Notamacropus eugenii: one gene and its partner. The protein of the gene in region 1 interacts with the protein of each later gene in a biochemical or structural test. Links are inferred from orthologs where the notes say so. Each region holds a gene or a part of one and is shown in the gene's direction. Other genes may lie near its edges.

The links. The genes of interacting proteins can lie anywhere in the genome.
Region 2: the proteins of CDKN1A (region 1) and PSMA3 form a complex in vitro, tested with the Homo sapiens proteins (4 studies listed by BioGRID). The link is inferred for Notamacropus eugenii from reciprocal best matches to the Homo sapiens genes CDKN1A and PSMA3.

Annotation. Positions count from the first base shown.
Region 1 is NC_092873.1:94,101,011-94,110,591, forward strand, and holds the start of CDKN1A (cyclin-dependent kinase inhibitor 1), read left to right. Parts: upstream 1-5,091; 5' UTR 5,092-5,429; intron 5,430-9,581. UniProt on the Homo sapiens protein: Plays an important role in controlling cell cycle progression and DNA damage-induced G2 arrest. Involved in p53/TP53 mediated inhibition of cellular proliferation in response to DNA damage.
Region 2 is NC_092872.1:301,067,355-301,077,548, forward strand, and holds the start of PSMA3 (proteasome subunit alpha type-3), read left to right. Parts: upstream 1-5,776; 5' UTR 5,777-6,014; coding exon 6,015-6,035; intron 6,036-10,194. UniProt on the Homo sapiens protein: Component of the 20S core proteasome complex involved in the proteolytic degradation of most intracellular proteins. This complex plays numerous essential roles within the cell by associating with different regulatory particles.

The DNA of each region.
Region 1 (9,581 bases):
CTTATCACCAGAAAAAAAACTTTCCTTCACTATGCAAAAGAGCTATGGTTTCACTCAGGAAAGATGCCTCCTCCCTGTCTTACTTAGATTACGGCCATCCTTGGGAATGGCTGTGGAGAAATCAATCTATCTTCTGGTGTCAGATTTCTATTAATGAACCTCTCTGGCTGGACTGGTCCTCTCATAGAATACAAGTCCCTTGAGGGTAACCAGAGTTTCATTTTTGTCTGTCTATCTCCATTGTCTTATATAGTGGCTGAAACAGTTTAATCAATGATTCCTGATGGATCAACTACTTGGGTATTGCTCCATAGCTTGATAGGGGCTCTTAGGGCTTGTAGCTGATCAGTGGAGCTTTTGGGCACCCAGGGTCACCTCTGGGCCATGACAGGATATCAGAGGAGGATTTTGGTGGAGTCAAGTCAACATGCACTTTTTCATATTAAGGACATAAATGTTATTAATATTAACATAAAATATTAATTAATGATCATTTTAGCAGCTGACATGAAATGAACAATTTGAAAAAAAGGCAGAGGGATATTTTCCACATTTCTCTGTAGCATCTTCAGATTGCAAATACAAACACTGAGCATGCACCTCCTACATATTTTTTCACAAAACTCTGTGAAGTAGGATGCACAAGTTTATTTTCTCCATTTTCAAGTGAACAAGCTTAAATAATGGAGTGTCTGCTACGTGTAAAGCAATGCAGGGAATGGAAATAAATGTTTTCCCATCAAGGAACTGAGAGATGAGGAAATCAGAGTCAGAGATTAGCCAGGATTACACAAGACTCAATCCTGGTGCTGGAGTTAAACTCAGGTCTCTCTTGGCTCCAGCGTGCAAGGGCTCCATTTGCTATATGAAGCTCCCTTAAGAAAGTTGGCATATTTTGACTGGGGTCAGTGAAAATGCTGGTCTGGTGTGATTAATAATGATAATTATCATAGTTGATGAGAGATAACATTTATACAGAAAGGTTTACAAAGTACTAGGGCAGCTAGTTGGAACAGTGGGCCTAGAGTCTGAAAGACACGAATTTAAATCTGGCTTCAAACACCCTGGGCAAGTTTTTGACCTCTCTCTGCCTCAATTTTGCAATGGACAGAATGCCTAGCCAAGACTCAGAAAGACTTATTTCCCTGAGTTCAAAACCAGCTGTGTGACCCTGGGGAAGTCACTTGATTCTGTTTGCCTCAGTTTCTTCATCTGTCAAATGAGGTGGAGAAGGATATGGCAAACCACTCCACTATCTTTTCAAACAAAACCCCAAGTGGGGGGTCATGAAGAGTCAACACAATTGAAATGACTGACGAAATAGTGTATGTTTTACTTGCCTGATCCTCACAACTACCCAAGCACATGATGGTCCCATTATTTTTTTTGGATTTGGATTTTTTTGGATTTGTCCAGGGGCAGGGGCAGGGGCAGGATTTGAACTCTGGTCTTCCTACTTCTAAATCCAGCGCTCTATCCATAGCACCACCTACCTGCACAAATGAACACCAACATAACTATATCGGAACCAAATTCAGGCAGATTTATAATTGTCAAAATCGGAGTGAACATTCAGTAATTGTCTTCATCAAGCAGACCTCCTTAAAGCTGAATTCTCAAGCAATGCTAGTAATGAGATCATTTACCCCTAGAAAAGAGTTTTCCAGTGCTAATGGTAACAGTTTGGGGACTGAACTTTATAGAACTCCAGGAATTGTTTCCCAGATCAGACAAGGGTATCTTTTCGGAAGAGATACCATAATCCAAGAGCTCATATTGAAATGAAGCAGGTGGGTAAACACAAAAATTGACATTTCAACAACACCAAGAATGTCCTCTTTCCACCTACCCCCATGAAGCCTTAATCGATCCTTTGCTAATTTTATAATCCTATGGCCCTATGATCCACTCAAGATGAATGAGCAGAATATTTTCAAAGATTCTGAAATACCACAGTTCCAGAATCATCCACAAAGTCCCCCACCCTGTGTTCACTGTCATTTGTACACCCCACCTTTCTAATGGAGATAAAGAGAGTTGGAAGACCATTTACACCCATTAAATGGCCCAGCAGGGCTGGTTTCTTATTATTTTATGCCCTGCCTCTTCAACAATTCCACCATGGGACCAAGTCCTGCTAAGGTTTGTCTTTTGAAGTTGTCATCTTGAACATACAGTGGTCTAGATGGCATGTGTCTCACCACAAGAGCCAGGTAAAATGGGAGGATCCTTTTTCTCTCTTCAGACAAAACATATGAATCACAGCTCTGCAACCCTCCAGATACATGAGAGCCCCTACTATTTTTTAATCCCTAAGGAAAAATACAGGCAAAATCAAGTCTTTTTTTTTTTTTTAATTTTGGCCAGCTGTGAGCTGTAGTTGCCATGGAGCTTTGCCATAAGGTGCCTACCTCTAGGAAAGTTCATTTACCCCTTGGGAGTATGTTTCCTACTTGGAGTGACCCCAATCCTAAACTTGTCTCATTGTTTACTGGGGCCTGGGTTGCTAGAGGTTCAGTTGTGTTGTAACAGGGGGCTGGCTGGCCTTTACCCTTGAAGGGATTCTGGGAGAGATGAATCCTAGGAGAAGGCCACCATCTCCAGAGTCTTCTTGCCCAGTTGTACCTCCCCATCCCCTCAGCCCAACCCTAGGGACAATAACAAGGCCTCGCCTCTCCTTATATAACTGTACCAGAGGTACAGTGGAGGTCCAACTGTCCTCGGCACCTCCACTGCTGTGGCCCTCCAGCAGCCCCCACTCCCCACCTCTATTCAGTTGCTTTGCAAATATTCCTGGTTACAGCTCTAGGAGGGAATTATGATAATAACAATAGCTAAGACAATATCAAGAACAGTAACAATAACAAAAACTTACATGTATTTAAGGCTCTAAGCTTTACCACTTTCCTTCATAACCCTGTGAGGTGATAATGCAACTATCCCTATTTTACAGACAAGTACATTAAGGCTCAGAAAAGTGGCAATTTTGCTCAAGGCCACCAGGACTGGAAGAGAAGAGAAAGGGAGAAAGCCTGGATTTGAATCATGCTCTTTGGATTCCTAGGGCACTGTAGAGTTTCTTCCATATGCCCCCCTTTAGCTGCCATGTTGACCAGTTCAGCCCCTGTGACTTCCTCCTGCCCAAGGGAAGAGCCTAAGTTCTGTGAGCAGTTTGCACCCCTGAGACCAGCAGAGCTGCTTGGGCCTAGTGACCCCACAGGTCAGATTCCTTGGCCACTTGGAGGAGATGAGGGTGGGGAAGGGGGCTGTGATCCTTACCAGTAAGGCCAGCTTCTTTCTGCTCCAGAGTCTGTAATAAGGACAGGAGAAATGAAGAAGGCCTTCTCTTCAGCTGGGGTCAGCAAACCCAGCGTCCAGTGCCTTTTTCTGAGAGCAAAGGAAAGAGGAAAGGACAAGTCTGGGCAGAACTCTGTAGTCACTGAACCAACTTTATCTTTCGTCATTGCTATGGCAAAGCCTGGATTCTAGTTTGGTTTTTTGAGTTTCTGTCCAGATGCCCTCCTCAGTCCTCAGCTGTTTCCTGGGCAGGAGCTTCAGGTATCTGAGGTGAGGAAAGAAAGGTAGGATTCATCGTGGAGTGGGGGAAGGGAGAGGGGAAGACTGGCTATTTTCTATTTGTCCCAGCAGTCCAAGAAAGCAGCAATTTAGAACAGGGAAAAATTGCCTGGTTGATGTTTTCAAAATGTTTCTCCCACTTAACGTGAACATATCGATACCATCTTCCTCTCCCTCCCCTTCCCACCTGCCAAACAAAGGGCCACAAAATAACAGACATTATCACATCACCTCCCTTCCAGAGATGACACATTGAGACAGAGATAGCAAAGTAGAACCCTGGGGGAGGGGCCAGGAGAGTGAATGCTATACATCCAGATTCTAGCCTTTCAATCCACTTTGAGTGACCTGGGAAAAGTCTCATCCACTACAGGCCTCAATTTCAGGAATGGAGGGCTCAGGTGAATCAGCCCCCCTCCTGAGCCAGTCTCCCAATATTGTACTTTGTTTCAGGGCAGCTCAGGACTTAGCTAGACAGAGGAAGGGTTGTTTACTTACATAGATGTGATCCTCCTCTTCATAGACCCACCAACTTTCTATCAGTAATTTTGTTACAGAACAATTTGGGGTAACCTCAGCTAGGGGTAGAATACGGTGGAATTGCTGGATGAGGATATGGAAATGGAATTTGGTTTCCCTCCCATGTGGTTTATTCTGGATTGGTTAATATAAAGGGTGTAGAGAGAAGACCCTCGAATTAGGGGTCAAAGGACAGAGGGTGGCAGAAAGACCCCTGCTTTTGAAGACAGATGACCCGGGTTCAATCCCAGCACTTCCATTAGCTATCCTTGGTCTCTCTTCCTAACCTCGTCATCCAGAGAAAGAGGGTGTTGGCCTGGATGGTCCCACTCTTCGATGCTATGCCATTGCCAATCAGTACGTTAGATCTGAAACCTGAGGCAGGTAGTTCCTCAGTCAGAGCTGCTCTGAAGCGCTTCTGTGCCATTCTAGTTCATGTTTTCCCATAAATATTTTCGAGACATCTACCCCAAAGTCTGATAAATCTGCCTCTGGGGCACTGGGGCACTCTCAGTCCATCACCTGCCTAAGTCCTTTTCTAGTCACACATTTCTATGAGGATATCATGGCGATCCTTGTCCCGGGTTCTTTGGGACCCCCAGGAGAAGGACACAGGAGACCTTCACGAAGAGCCAGAAAAGACACAGAAAATGAAAGTGCATTAATTAGCTTAAGATGTTAGGCAACTGTAAGAGGTAATCACTGCCATTAATTTTCTTCCATCGCTTTCGCGGTAAATTTCTACCCAGAGGAGTTGTGAAGCTAGCCATAGAGGGCTTAAGAAACTCATCGCCTTTCTTTCAGGACCCTTACGTCCTTCCCAGTGGGAACGTTGATTTCATAGCTTAAGTTTTCTGGAAAATGCGACCCGGGGGACAAATCTAGAACTACAAAAGTGTGTATATGTACGTATGACTGTGTCTGTGTGTCTGTGTGTCTGTGTCCGTGCATTCGTGCGCGCGCTACCGCGCGCGCGCGGGAGTCTCGGCCGGGGAAAGGAGAGTTTCTGGCTGCCAGGGCCCGGCTTCGCCCCTGCCCCCAGCCCTCAGGCTAGGCTGCGGAGCCGGGCGGCCGCAGTCCCCAGCCCCGTTGTCACTCACTCACTCGCGGAGCCTGGCGCCGCGCCCTGCGCGGCCGAGCCCGGAGGGCGGAGTTTGGGTGGACTGCTCAGCGGAGGCGGAGACTGTGCGGCTATAATAGGCTCCGAAGCCGGGCAGCCCAGCCAGAAGAGGAGGTGTGAGCGACGCCACCGAACCGGGTTCGAGAGCTGGGGCAAGGGCAGGGACGCAGAGTAGGCAACGCTTGATCGGGACATCCTGAGGGAGACCGAGAAGGTGAGAGGGGATTTGGAGCTGAAGATTTAAGGACTGGAAGGAGGCAGGATTTGAGCGTTGGAGAGGCCCTTAATTCTACTGGTACTTGTGTGTGTGTGTGTGTGTGTGTGTGTGTGTGTCTAAGTGTGTAAGGAGGGGGTCCTGCATTCCTCCCGGCTGGGGGGCTGTCCAAGGCTCTTCCCGGGGAAGGTGGGCCCGAGTCTCCGACTTGGGGTGGGGAGAAGGGGCCTCTTGTTGGAGCGCCCCCTCCCCACCGATTTCTCTTCTCTGGTCGCTACTGAATGGCCCCGGCCCGGTCCAGCCCAGGTCTCCGCGTAACCCTTTCTTTCTTAGCCTTCTTGGGACCCAAGGAGGAGGCTAGAGAGAAGGTACAGGGTGGGGGGGACTGGGATATCCCTAGAGCTCGTCCGTGTTAGGAAGGGGGTCGTAGCCCCGATTCGGGGACCCCGCCCGTTTCTTGCTTTCTCACTAGCATAGCTGGGGTGAGTGAGAAGGGCGAGGATCACCCCCCACCCTCGATGCAAACCGGGCCCGGGCTGGGGGTGGGAGCCGAGTTTCGGACTCCTCTGCTCCGGAGTGGGTGATGCCCGGCAGGTTAAAAGCTTAGGCCCGCCCCGGGGCGGAGATCCCCAGGCTGATCGATCGTGGTAGGTTCCGAATAGGATGTCTCGGGGTCCGGCGGCCGGTTCCTTGGTGGATCCCGGAGGAGTGGAGGATCCCAGCCGGCTACGGCGATGTCGCAGTTTCAGCGACAGGCACCACCCCTCTCCTCTTTGCTTTGGCACGGGAGACAGGGACCGAGGCCACCTCCCCTGTACCCCTCCCCGCCGGCCCGGCCCGGAATCCTTGTCCCCCGAGCCCCACCCCCAGGCTAGCCCCTTCTCCCGGCCCGCCTGGCCAACTCAGCTCCGGGTCTGGAGGGTGGTGTCGCCGGCCCCCTGGGACGTGCGGGGACTTGTCCCTTAAGGGAGGGGGAGCAGGAGGTGACTCACGGGTGACACGGAGACCCCGGGGAGTGGGGCGGGGTGAGGTCAGAGCCCCACCCCGGGGGGGAGGAGAGCTGAGTGGGGGGAGTGTGTGGAGAGTGCCATGGCTTCTGTGAGCCTCAGTCTCCGGAGCTACCCCCTAACAAAGGGAGGTGTGTGTGGGTATGGGGGGGGCGGAAGGGGCTGGCCCCCGAGAGGAGTTGAGGGGACAGCGGCCAGAGACCTCCCCTAGGTTTCGGCTTTTTGTATGTTTGCTCCTGGTCCAGGGAGGAGAAACCTAAGCTCCTGGAAAGCCGGGGCACCTGGGTGCCTGCAGTCTTTGTGCCTCGGTTATCCTTCTGGAAAATGGGCACAGTCATCCTCCCTTATTTTTCCGAGGCATTCTCGAGGTGGCGGTCTCTTTCGGAGATGGACGACTTCTTTCTCCTTGACATCCCCTTCTAGTATCTGGTCCCCTGCCGGCTTCTTGTCTCTGCCGCTGTGCGGGAGCCGGACCTTGCCCCTCCCAGACCCAGGGGGGCGGGGACCGAGGGAGGAGTGGGGAGTCTGGGGAGCCTCGCTACCCTTTTGCTAGTGAGACTTGGGGATGTTCCATGCTGGGCCCACTCTCCCCAGCCCCTAGGGCTGCCGGTGACCCAGTGACCAGAGCGGGGGGGTGGTAATGGAGGCAGCGAAGGCACCTTTCCTAGTTGGGTATTTCCGGTGTGTGTATGCAAACGACGAAGGCGTGTGTGTTTGTGTACTAGGGCTCCTGGCTTCAGATCCTGGCCAGCCTGGAGAACGTGCGCACGCACACACACACACACACACACACACACACACACACACACACACACACGGAGGTCACGTGTGTGCCCGCCCAGCAAATACTTGCAGAATTGCTTTGCTGTGCACTGCACTGAATTGGATACTTTTAAGTGGGCGGCGATGCCCAGATCCTCCGCAGGCCCCCTCCTCCTCCCCCTCCGCTCCAGGCACGTCGCGAAGAGTAGCGGGGTGTTGTTAGTCCTGGGGGTTTGGCTTCCCGCGGCTATTTTTCTTGCCCAGTTAGCCAGTTGTCTCCTGGGGTGGCTCGGGTGCGGAGCTGGGGCCGGGGCACAGATGTGCTCCCGTGTCTCCCGGCCGTGTCCGTCTTTGTCTGTCCGTGCCTCTGCCTCGCTCTGCCTTTGTTTGTCTGTGTCTGTGCGGAGTGAGAGAGGCTTATTTCCCAACAGTGTCATGTGCAGTTTCGGAAGCCCGGCTGGCTCAGCGTGACGTGTTCACATCCCTCTCCCACCCCTCCACCCTCCTCTCCCCCTGCCCCTCCCCAGGAGCCTGTGACGTGCCTCCCTCCAAGTTTTGGCGGGCTGGCAGTTCAGGAAACTGACTCACTACAACTTCTCCCTTCTGGACTGTCCCGCTGCCCTAGGCACCAGAGCAGGCTGCAGAAGTGGGGGGTGGAAGGGTGAGGGGGGGGATTTCCTAGAGGCAGGCGCCCCCTCCTGGACCAGGGGCTGCATAGTCTAGCCACCCTACCCCAGCATTTCTCAAAAGAAATTTCCCAAATGACTCTTGCCTAGGGGCCTTTGTTTCCTGTGTCTCACTCCCAGAGAACCTTCTGTCCTGAGCTCAGCAGGCATGTACACCCAGCCAGCATTTCATCACGCACTCTACTCCGGTCTTTTCTCCTGATTTGCTCCACTTTGCAAAAATAACCCTTTCCTTACCAGGCTGATGCCTGGAATTTGTAGACTCTAGAGCTGATCAGTAGAACAACATTTATTAAACACCTATCAGTCAGATTTTAGTAAGAGTTTAGTAAGTGCCTACCACATCCCAGGCACTAAGTTGTAGGCACTGGAGATACCCTGCCCTCAAGGAGCTAGAACAATCCCTTCATTTTATTAGAGTGGGATATGTCGCTGCTGTTTAGCCATAGCAGACTCTCCCTGACCCCATGTGGGGTTTTCTTAGTAAACATCCTGGAGTGTTTGCCATCTCCCTTTCCAGCTCATCTTACAGACAAGGAAACTGAGGCAAACGGGGTTAAGTGACTTGCTCAGGGTCATCCAGCTAGTAAATGTCTGAGCTCACATCTGAACTCAGATCTTCTTGACTCTAGGCCCAGCACTATGTCCATTGTACCACCTACCTGCCGGCAGAGTAGTACCGAGCACTGAGACCTTAAAAGGGAAGTAAGTTGTTCAAGGTCACGTAACTAATAAATGTCTGAACTGGGATTCAGACTCAAAGGCACAAGTTGGGATGGGGCATTGTTGCTCTGTAACTTCTCCCTGGTGTAAAACATTTGTTCAGCAATGACATTGTGTCAACTTCTCTGATGTTGCCACTTAACAAAGTCCTAGTTGTAGCCACCTGACAAGCCATCCTTGGATTATAGGGACACTGAAAATAAACCCTCTGCTCCTTTTCCCCAATCTTACTCCATTCTAATCCTGTCCTGGGCAGGGAAGGATGGGAGGGAGGGTGAGAAGGAATGGGGAAGGTCAGCACAGGATATATTTCCCATCTTGAGAGATGGGAATGGAATATGCTGGAGAGTGAAGCTCTGTTTACTGAGAGAGTGGAGTGAGTGGAGGAGCCCTATTCTGGTTTTGTCATCTTTGTAACCCTGAGGCAAAATGTTTTCTTTCCCTGATCTTCTGTCTCTCCATCTTTAATGGGAAGGAGTTGGACTGGAAAAATTCTAAGATCTCTTCCATTTCTTCCATGGTATGATTCCATGAATATAGCAGTAGGTGGGACATAGGCTTGGCACAGAGTCTGGCACACAGTAGGCACTTAATGAATGTTTGTTGATTGGATGACTGACTCAAGCTCCCCCTTTCCCTGGGGAGGGGGGTTAACTCAGTGGGTATTTGTCCCTTGGGTAGACACAAGCCTGGACTTGCTGTCCTAAAAACAGACTTCCTGCCCAGTCTTGCCAATAACCCCCAGAAGCCTGGCTGATGTCAGGATATGAAGTAGGGCAGGGGCAAGTGCCAAGGTCACCATAAATAGGTAAGCTTATTTTTTCTGGTCTCCTTTGACACCAGATATAGGAGGAGCCTTGAAAACTGTGGAGGTAGGGGGCCCCAGAAAGCCTTATCAGATGTGTTTTGTGTTGGTTTGGTGCTTGGAAATGTAGCCTCTTGGGGTCAAGCAGTTAAAAACCAATGAGCTCAGT
Region 2 (10,194 bases), on another chromosome or scaffold:
ATTATGAGCACAGTCTCAAAGAACAGTTTCCTCAAAGGTCTGTCCTGAACTTTGCCAATAGCACTCCATCCTGGCCCTCAACAAGATATGGGGGTTCTCCAGAATCCAGAGTCCAATAATCCTCTAAACTTTAATTTTAGACTGAAGAAATCTGAGTATTCATAGCTTACTCTTATAATTGCCGGCTTTTCTCTATCCTCATCTTTCTGGATCTCTCTGCAGCCTTGGACTATGGATCACCCTCTTTTTTCTTTTTTAAATTCAACAAATTTTTTTCTTAAATTTTTTTTTTCCAATTACATGAAAAAGTTTTTAATATTAATTTTTTTTTTAAATTTTGAGTTCCAAACTATCTCCCTTCCTCTCTTCTTCCCCTCTCATTGAGAAGGCAAGTAATTTAATATAGGTTAAACCCATGCAGTTATGTAAAATATATTTCCATAATCATTCTGCGAAAAAAACACATTAAAAAAACTAAGAAAAATAAAGTTTTTAAAAGGTATGCTTCTATTTGCATTCAGACTATATCAGTTCATTTTCTGGAGGTGGATAACAATTTTTATCATGAGTCCTTTAGAGCTGCCTTGAATCCTTGTGTTTCTGAGGATAGCTAAGTCATTCACAGTTGATCATTGCACAATGCTATTGTTACTGTGTACAATGTTCTTCTGGTCCTGCTAACTTCATTTCGCATCAGTTCATGTAAGTCTTTCCAGGTTTTTCTGAAAGCATTCTGCTTATCATCTCTTATATCATAATAATATTCCATTACAATATACCACAACTTGCTCAGCCATTTCCCAGTTGATGGATATCCTGTTAATTTCCAGTTCTTTGTCACCAAAAAAGAGCTGCTATAAATAATTTTTTATAACAGTAGGTCCTTTTCCATTTTTTTGGTCTTTTGGTATACAGACCTAGTAGTAGTGGTGATGCTGGGCCAAAGGGTGTGCAGTTTTATAGCTCTTTGACCTAGTTCCAAATTGTTCTCCAGAATAGTTGGATTAGTTTACAACTCCATCAACAATGCATTGCTGTTCCAATTTTCTCACATCTCCAACATTTATCATTTTCCCTTTTTTGCCATTTTTCTTTTCTGTAATGGTAGTCAATTTGATAGGTGTGAGGTGGGTACCTTTGAGTTACTTTAATTTATATTTCTCTAGTCAATAGTGATTTAGAGCATTTTTTCTTATGTTTATAGATAGCTTTGATTACTTCATTTGAAAATTCACCCTTCATATATTTGCCAAGTGAGTAATGGCTTTTATTTTTTGGCTCAGTTCCCTATCTTTTTGAGTAATGAGGCCTTTATCACAGAAACTTGCAGCAAATTCCCTCCCCACCCCAGTTTCCTGTTTTCCTTCTAATTTTGGCTATATTCAGGGTTTTTTTTATGAGTACAAAACCTTTTTAATTTCATGTAATCAGAATTATCTCTTTTGCTTCCCATGATACTCTCTATTTCTTGTTTGGGCACAAATTTATCCCTTATCCATAGATCTAACTGGTTCATTTTCCCATGCTCTCCTAATTTACATATGATATAACCCTTGACCATCTGAATCATCTATCCATTTTGACCTTATCTTAGTATTCTGGTAAGATGCTGATCTCTGCCTAGTTTTTGCCAAGCTGCTTTCCAGTTTTCCCAGCAATTTTTGCCAAATGTTGAGTTCTTATTCCAAATGCTTGTGTCTTTAGGTTTGTCAGATACTGTAGGTGTTGTTTGTCCTTCATTGTCAAAGAGGACCATGACATGAGGGAGGAGAAGCCATGACATGCAAGTGAACTGGATTGGAGGGAAGTAGGGCTGGCAAAATCACCAGCCTCACTTTCTCCTCCAGAGTCATCTGGGTCCAGTGGCAAGATATAGATCAGGACAACTGAAAAAGGCCCAGGATGCAGTGGGGGACCTTGGCCTTTTCTTTTTTCTTTTTGCTATTATAATGTTATTATACTATTTTAAAGTTTATTTTTAGTTTTCAACATTCTTTTCCACAAATTTTAATTTTTTCCCTCCCCCTTCCCCAAGATGGCATGCAATCTGATATAGGCTCTACATATACTATTATCTACATATACTAATGTCCTATAACATATTTCCACATTAGTCATGTTGTATAGAAGAATTGGAATGAATGGGAGGAACCATGAGAAAGGAAAACAAAAGAAAAATAGTCTGCTTCACTCTGCATTCAGAATCCACAGTTCTTTCTCTGCATGTGGATGGCATTTTCTGTCATTAATCCTTTGGACTTGTTTTAGGAGCTTGCATTGCAGAAAAAAGCTAAGTCTATCAAAATCAGTCATCATGTACTATGGCTGTTACTGTGTACAATGTTCTCCTGGTTCTGCTCACTTCACTCAGCATCCATTCATATAAGTCTTTGCAAGTTTTTCTGAAGTCTGCCTGCTCATCATTTCTTATAGTACAATAGTGGGAGCAGAAAAGGCCTGGGGAAGAGAACAAGGAAACGGAGCTTATCTCTTTATCCCAGTGGCTTAGGAGAAGGTTAGTGGAGTCCAATTAATATGTGGAATCCTGGGTTTCAGCGTCATAAATGTTGAGGTCAGATGTTGGGAGAGTGGTTCGGGTGGGAAAGAATTCACTTAGACCTTCTTTGTAGCCTTTGGGAGTTTTATTACATGAAGCAGCATGGGTCTGATGATAAAATCTCCAAATGGCTACGGAGAAAGTCTAAGTGAATTCTTTCTCACCCAAACTGCTCTCCCAAAATCTGATCTCAACACTGCCCTTTAGATGTGATTTCCATCTCCCTTGAATCTTTACAGCATGTTACCTCTTTAATAGCAGTTATCATCCCATTTTGACATTTATATTTTTCAGTTGTATGATTGGACTACTTTAGAAGTCCATTGATGGAAATTATCAGCATAGTCGATAGAATACTGGTCTGGGATATAGGAAGATGTGAGTTTGAATTGTTTCATTTATTTACTAGCTGTTTAGACACTAGGCAAATCACTTAACTTCTTCCAGTATGTTTTTCTTGAATAACTGACACTCAACCTCAAAGGCTGCTTCTGAGGATCAAATGAGATAATGTATGCAAAGCCCTTTGCAAACCTTAAAGCTCTCAGTAAAGGACTGCTATTACTATTCACCAGAGTATGCACATAAGAGTTGAACTAGCTACTTAAGATGTTAATGAACAATAATTAGCCAACATTTATGGCATACTTTAGAGTTTGCAAGGGGCTTTACATATTATCTCATTTGCTCCTAAACTCTAAGAGGTAGGGATGATATTATTATTATTATTCCCATTTTACAGAAGAGGAAACTGAAGCAGGAAGAAATTAAGGGATTTGCTTAGGGTCACACAGCTCAGTGTCTGAGATGGGGTTCAAACTCAGGCCTTATTATCTTATTGAATCAAATAATATAATATTGCATATCTAAATGACACTTAGAGGTAAAAAAATCAGTTTTTTTCCTGTAATTATTTTTATTTAAAAAAATTTTACTTTGACATTCATTTTTTTAATATTTTGAGTTCCATATTCTCTCCCTCCAGCCCCTCCCCTATCTTTTGAGAAGGCAAGCTATATGATTTCAATTATAGATGTGGTCCCGCAAAACATATTTCCATATTCAAATAAGTTTCAAAAGATCCGAAAAAAGAGGTGGGTTCTCCACAGGAGTGTGAGAGAGTCAGCTCCCACCTGCTTGGGGGAGCCTCTTGTCAAATTTTCAGTATAGGCATTTACACTTCTGAAATTTGCAAAGACTACAAATTAGGGCTTCATTTCTTCTTCTTTTGTTAATTGTCTAGGCTTAAGAAAGTAATAGAAAAACTGTCAATGATACAGATTGAACTTTTAAAGTCTCTCCAGGTACATTCCTGTCCCCTCCCCCTACTTCAGGAAATTTACAGAAGCCATGCATGTATACATACACACATCAGCCTCTACACAAGACTGGTCCAGTGTCACTGCCCAAATACTTAGGCTGGATGGACCACAACTTTTTTTTCTTCCATATTTATTCATTCATTCATTCATTTATTTTTCAACATTCATTTTCACAGATTTTGAGTTCCAAATTTTTTCTCCCCTCTCCCCAAGACAGCATGCAATCGGATATAGGCTATACATGTACAATCATATTAAACATATTTTGACACTAGTCATGTTGTGAAAGAAGAATCAGGACAAAAGGGAAAAACCACAAGAAAGAAAAAAAAGAGAAAATAATATGCTTCAATCTTCATTCAGACTCCACAGTTTTTCTCTGAATGTGGATAGCATTTTCCATCATGAGTCCCTTGGAATTGTCTTGGATTGTTGCATTACTGAGAAGAGCTAAGTATGTCAAAGTTGGTCATCATGCAATGTTGCTGTCACTGTGTGCGATGTTCTCCTGGTTTGGATCACTTCACTCAGCATCAGTTCATGTAAGTCTTTCCAGGATTTTCTGAAATCTGCCTGTGCATCATTTCTTATGGAACAATAGTATTCCCTTACATTCAGATGATGTGGATATAACATCAATGCCCTAAGGGTTAAAAAGAATATTAAGAGTTGCTTTTCCAATACTTTGTGAAGACCCTCCTGAGGCAGGGTTGGAGCTCATTCTGTAACCTATCCTGTAACTTGAGGGCATCCTAAAGTCCCTTTCCCCTCATCCTGTGTCATAAATTTCTTCTTTTGTAAGCAGCTATCTCCTTCATCCTGTGCTATAAATTCTCCCTTATCCTTAATCTTCAACCATCATAAATCCTTAAAACTACATCATCCTGAACATCTATAGACTTTCTGTCTACATATGCCTAGTTCTTCAAAAATAAGTACCCTTTTTTACTTAGCCTCAAGGCCACAGTAAAAAAGGTCCACATCCATGTATAGCTTTCATGTAATAAAGCTCCCATTAGTTAAGAAAAAAATCACCTAAGTGAATTCTTTCACACCTGAACTACTCTCCCAAATCTGACTTCTTGTTCAGCCATTCCCCGACTGATGGACAGCTCTCAATTTCCAATTCTTGGCCACCACAAAAAGAGTTGCTATCGATATTTGTGTATAAATAAGTCCTTTACCCTTTTTTAAAAAACAATCTCTTTAGATCCCGATCTATTGGTGGTATTGCTGGATCAAAGGGTATGCAGTTAGGACCTCCTGGGCACAGTTGGCTGGTTGGGTTTACAACTCTTCCAGCAATCCACTAGTGTTCCATTTCCCCACATCTTCTCCAACATTTATCACTTTCCTTTTCCATCATATCAGCCAATTTTACAAGTGTGAGGTGGTGCCTCAGAGCTGCTTTAATGCGCATTTCTTTAATCAGCAGTGGATTTGGAGCATTTTTTCCTATGACTACGGATAGCTTTCATTTTTTCCTCTGAAAATTGGCTGTTCACGTCCTTTGACAGTTTATCGATTGAGGAACGATCTGTATTCTTATCAATCTGACCCAGTTTTCCAGATACTTTAGAAATGCGGCCCTTTTCAGAGAGCGTGGCTGTAAAAAGCGTTTCCCAGACTTCTGCTTCCCTTCTGATCTTGGCTGCATCGTGTCCGTCTCTTTAGGGGCCCTTGCTGGCTCGTCCATAAGGCTTTTTACGCCTCAGCTGCGTTTACCGGGATCTCTTCCTTTCTCAAGGAGATGCTGGGAAAGGGCGCAGGGAGTCGTTGGGGGAGGGGCACCGCGGCCCACTGCTTCAGTGCGGTAGAGGAGGACACAAAAGGCGCTGCGCGCTAGCTCCGCCAGCCTCCAGCTAGGAAAGGAGGACGTCGAGATCACCTCCCCTCCCCTCCCCTCGAACCCACACCATTTCTGCGCACGCGTGCTCCCTTGCCACCACCCCCGCCTCCCTTGCCTCTGGGCTCCTAGGCCTGGCGAGAGAAGAGGTCCAGCTCCTGGAGGCTATTGGTTGAAATTCGGGCCAATGACGGCGGGCGTTGTTCGTTTGCGCCGGTCTGTGGCGTGAGGAGCGGCGGCGCTTTAGGCCTTGAAAGGTTTCTCCTCGTCTCTGTGGTGGCTGGGCGCCATGAGCTCTATCGGGACCGGGGTGAGTCTTGTGTTCTCCGCGCGGATCAGGGGAACAGGACCGAGGGGGAAGCAGAGGCCGCTCAGAGCGCACCCTCCGCCCCTGCACCACCTCCGGCCCTGCCCGCCGGTTTCTCCTTTGGGAAAGACGCGTCCCCCACCGCGGGACCCCCGCCCCCCGCCCCAGAAGCCTCCGAAAACGTGTCCTAGAGTCCCGGATCCTAGGAAACCGCGCCCCAGGAGCGTGATGTTCCTGACCCCGGCGGCCCAGCGTGCGCCGAGGGCCCGGGGCCTCCCTAGCTTTGCCGAGTCATTTTCTTTAGCCGGCTGAGGAAACCGAAAGTAGTGAAGGCCCAGCGCGCGGGCCGGATTGGCGGGAGGGGAGAAGGAAGGGTTGAGGGGGCCAGGAGACGCCTTATCTCTTCCCAAGCCTGGAGGCTGGTGGGATCCCGGGCCCCTGAGACTCGAGTGACCCGAGGCCCCTGGCTGAAGGGACCCGAGGCCTCGGCGCGCTGCTGAGTCACGGGGCTCCTTTCGTGGAATTCTGCATTTCCGCCCTAATCCTTCCCCAAAATAAAGAAACAGAAACCCAGGCTCCGAAGAAGGCCCCAAAGAGTCCTGCCCTTGTGCCGGAACTCTGAAAGATGATCGTTAGGAACAGAGAAATCTGGCTGAGAGCTGTTCTTTTGGTGGTGGTTGTTACACTAGGCTTTTTTTTTTCAAGCTTGCGCTCTCCTCCCCTCCCCCGTAGTCCTCTTTACGAGATAGAGTGTGGAGACAGACTGTGCAAGACAACGGGTGTTTTATGCTTTGTAAAGCCTGGTTCTAAATTCAAGTTACTTCACTTGGCAGTTAGGCTTTAATACGGTAAAAAAAAAAAAAAGTCAGCGTCCGGTAGCTAGTTTTTCTCCTGGGAATTATTTAACTTTCCTACCTTCCGTCTCAGCTAAATTCTGTGCCTCTGCTAACTTCCTGTGATGTATATGCATTTGTTAAAAGTGAGATCCCTAACCCTAATGTTTATCTATCGCTCCCTAGCAGATACACACTCTCTCTCTCTCTCTCTCTCTCTCTCTCTCTCTCTCTCTCTCTCTCTCTCTCAAGTTACCAGGAGGAAAAATAGTTGAGTTTTTTTCATGGAAACTTCTAAGACAATGCATAATCCATAAGTACCACTTTTAAATTTTACAAAGTGTTCCCTGACACCATCCCTGTATGGTTAATATTGATTGCAAGCATCATTCTGACTTTCAGAGATGCAAGTGCTACCCAAGGTCATTACAATCCAGGTCTTTCTTGATTTCACCGGCCACGTTCTTTATGCTTTGCCACACTGCCTTTCTTACCCCTTGTCTTTTCATTTCATTGTCACCACTCCACTTCATGTTCTCTTTCTCTCTTGCTCAGAATGTTACAAAAGCATGCTATTTCCTCTAGTCCCAAACACATGCTGCTGATTGATTGATCTCGTTTAAAAATTACTGCCCTGTTCACTGCCTGTGATGCCCAAAATTACTGGCCTTCAGATGGGTAGGCCAAGAATATTTATTAAGTGAATTCAATATATAAGTTAATGAAATACAATTTTGGAGATACAAAGATAGAAGTGAAACAGGCTCTCATCTCCAGGAGCTTACATTCTATCAGGTATAAACATTTATGAAGATAAGTAATATGGTCTACACAAGGCATTTAAAAGCTACTGGGAATTCCAAAAGGTGGAGAATAGGAGGAATAGCATTCTAGGAATGGGGGGGACTACTTGTGCCAAAGGCATGGTGATAGAATGTTATATATAGGAAACAGCAAGAGACTAGTTTGTTTAGAATTTAAATTGATATATGAGGGAAAGTGTTATGAAATCAGTCTGGAATGACAGGTTAGAGAACTTGGTTATGGAGGGCTTTAAATGCCAGAGAAGAATTTGTATTTGATCTTAGAAAATATAGGAGCCACTGGCTCTTGAGCAAAGGGAATGATGTGATCGTACCTATGCTTTAGGGATATTACTCTGTCAGTTGTGCAGAGGATAGATTGTAGAAGTGGAAGACTGAAGGCAGGGGGAGACCGAATAGGAGAATATTGCAGGAGATCAGGTAAGAGGTTACGGATGAGGGCCTAAACAAGGGTAATTGTCACAGTCTTAGATTTAGGGCTGGAAGGTACCTTAGAGACCAGCTGGTCCAACCCCTTTCATTCACAGATATGGAAATTGAGGTTCAGAGAAAAGTCATTCAGAAAATGATCGTAGCTAGCATTCATATATTGCTTTAACGTTTGCAAATTACTTTACATGTGTCATTTCATTTGGTCAACAAAACAATGCTGTGAGGTAGGTGCTAGTATTTATTTTACAGATAAAGAAATTGAGACAGATTACAGGACTTGCTCAGGGTCACACAGTGTCAGAGGCTGGATTTGAACTCAAACCTTACAAATCTAATGTGCTTTCCCACTGTACCACATGAATGAAGAGATGGGCATGGATATGAGAGAGATGGAATTAAAATGGACAGAGCTTGGTAATTGATTAAATGTTGGGGGATAAGACAACAATAATTGGAGTCTTATCCTATACCTTTTCACCCTCAACCACTCACCCTATACCAGTCAACTGTTACATTTCCCTTGTCCAGGAATCTTGCACTTCATGCCCTTGTAATCCTTGTGATTTAATCATTTAAAACTCTTACCTTAAGTACAGATTTAGGCACTAATCTCTACCTTTGCCATCTTTCCATTATACCCTTTAAAATCCCCAATAGTAATAATAAGGACCCCTTAATCCTAGATCTTTTATTTCTGGTCCTTACAGAAACATATCTTTCTCCTGAAGATGCCTCATTAGCCCCTTGCAACACTCTCTGATGCTGGTTGTTTCTTTTTTCATGCCACTTGATGTGGCAGGAGGAAAAGTTAGTGTAGTCCTTATTCTCCACTATTACTTGTAGATCCCCCTTTGTGCCACCATCACTTGTAACTCATCTTCATTTTGAAATTCACTCCATATGTATCATACATTAGAGTAGACCATATCATCTAAAACTGTTGATCTTAAGTTCTATAATTCCCTTCTTTAGTCATAATCTAATGTCCTTCATATCACCATCTGTGGAGGGAGAGCCAATGTGAAGGAGTAGCAGGAAGCAGTAAAGCAAATGTCCCTCCACCCCTTCCCCCACAAAAAAAACCTCCTCTAAACAGATCTAGAAAATGAGCCAGACCAAGTTCTGATAGGGAAATAAAGAAAAGTCACAGTGAGTCATTTTTTTCAGTTTAGATTGGCACAGAGACACAGAGATTTGTGAACATTGGGATTGGGTTGGGCCAAATATGCAGCAAATGGAACATTCCAGTGCCTAGGGAAAGGCTGTCCACCAAGGTAAGCAGAGGTCCTAGACCCATACTGGGATACCCAACTGGGACAGCTACCAACTAGCATCTTGTTGCTCTCTGCGCAGTTTCAGGTCACAGATCTAGGACAAACAGGAAAAGATACATTGGCACAAGAAAGGCACCTCTTTGCCTGTCTTCCTGACTCCAGGTGCTACCAGCTGCCTCTAATGACAATTACAGCCAACATCTAGAATTTCCAGTCAAAGAAAAAATACTATAATCAATCTGCCTCAGTCCTCCTAAATTACTTTGCCTTCACCACCACTTCCAGTGCTTTCATCCCTCTTTGTCTCCACTCACTGGCCTCACTTTTTTTCTCTCATAGTCTTGACCCTATAGTTAATCAGTTTAGCAAAGCACTGTCTTCCACTCTTTCCCTCTTTGTTTACTTTCTCTTGTTTGTATTCTACCAGTACTCAGCTTTGGATAATTCTCTTGTAAGCTTTTTGCTTCTACTCTTGAACCGTCAGGTAGTATTAGGAGTTCCATAACCCCATTCACCAAATCCATTATAAATTCATGTTGTTGTTGAGTCATTTCAGTCCTGGCCGACATCGGTCTTTGTGACCCAGTTTGAGGTTTTCTTGGCAAAGGTACCGAGAGACTATTCTGGAATTAGGGTGTGGGTCACTGCTATTCTCTCATTGCTACACTATCGTAATACTTGTATTCTTCCCTAACTGACTTCCTATCGTGTTCTGTAGCAGTTTTTCTCAAACATTTCAAGTACCCACTGCCCCCCCTTTCCTTCAGCAGATAACCTAATTTCTAACTTTACTGAAGAA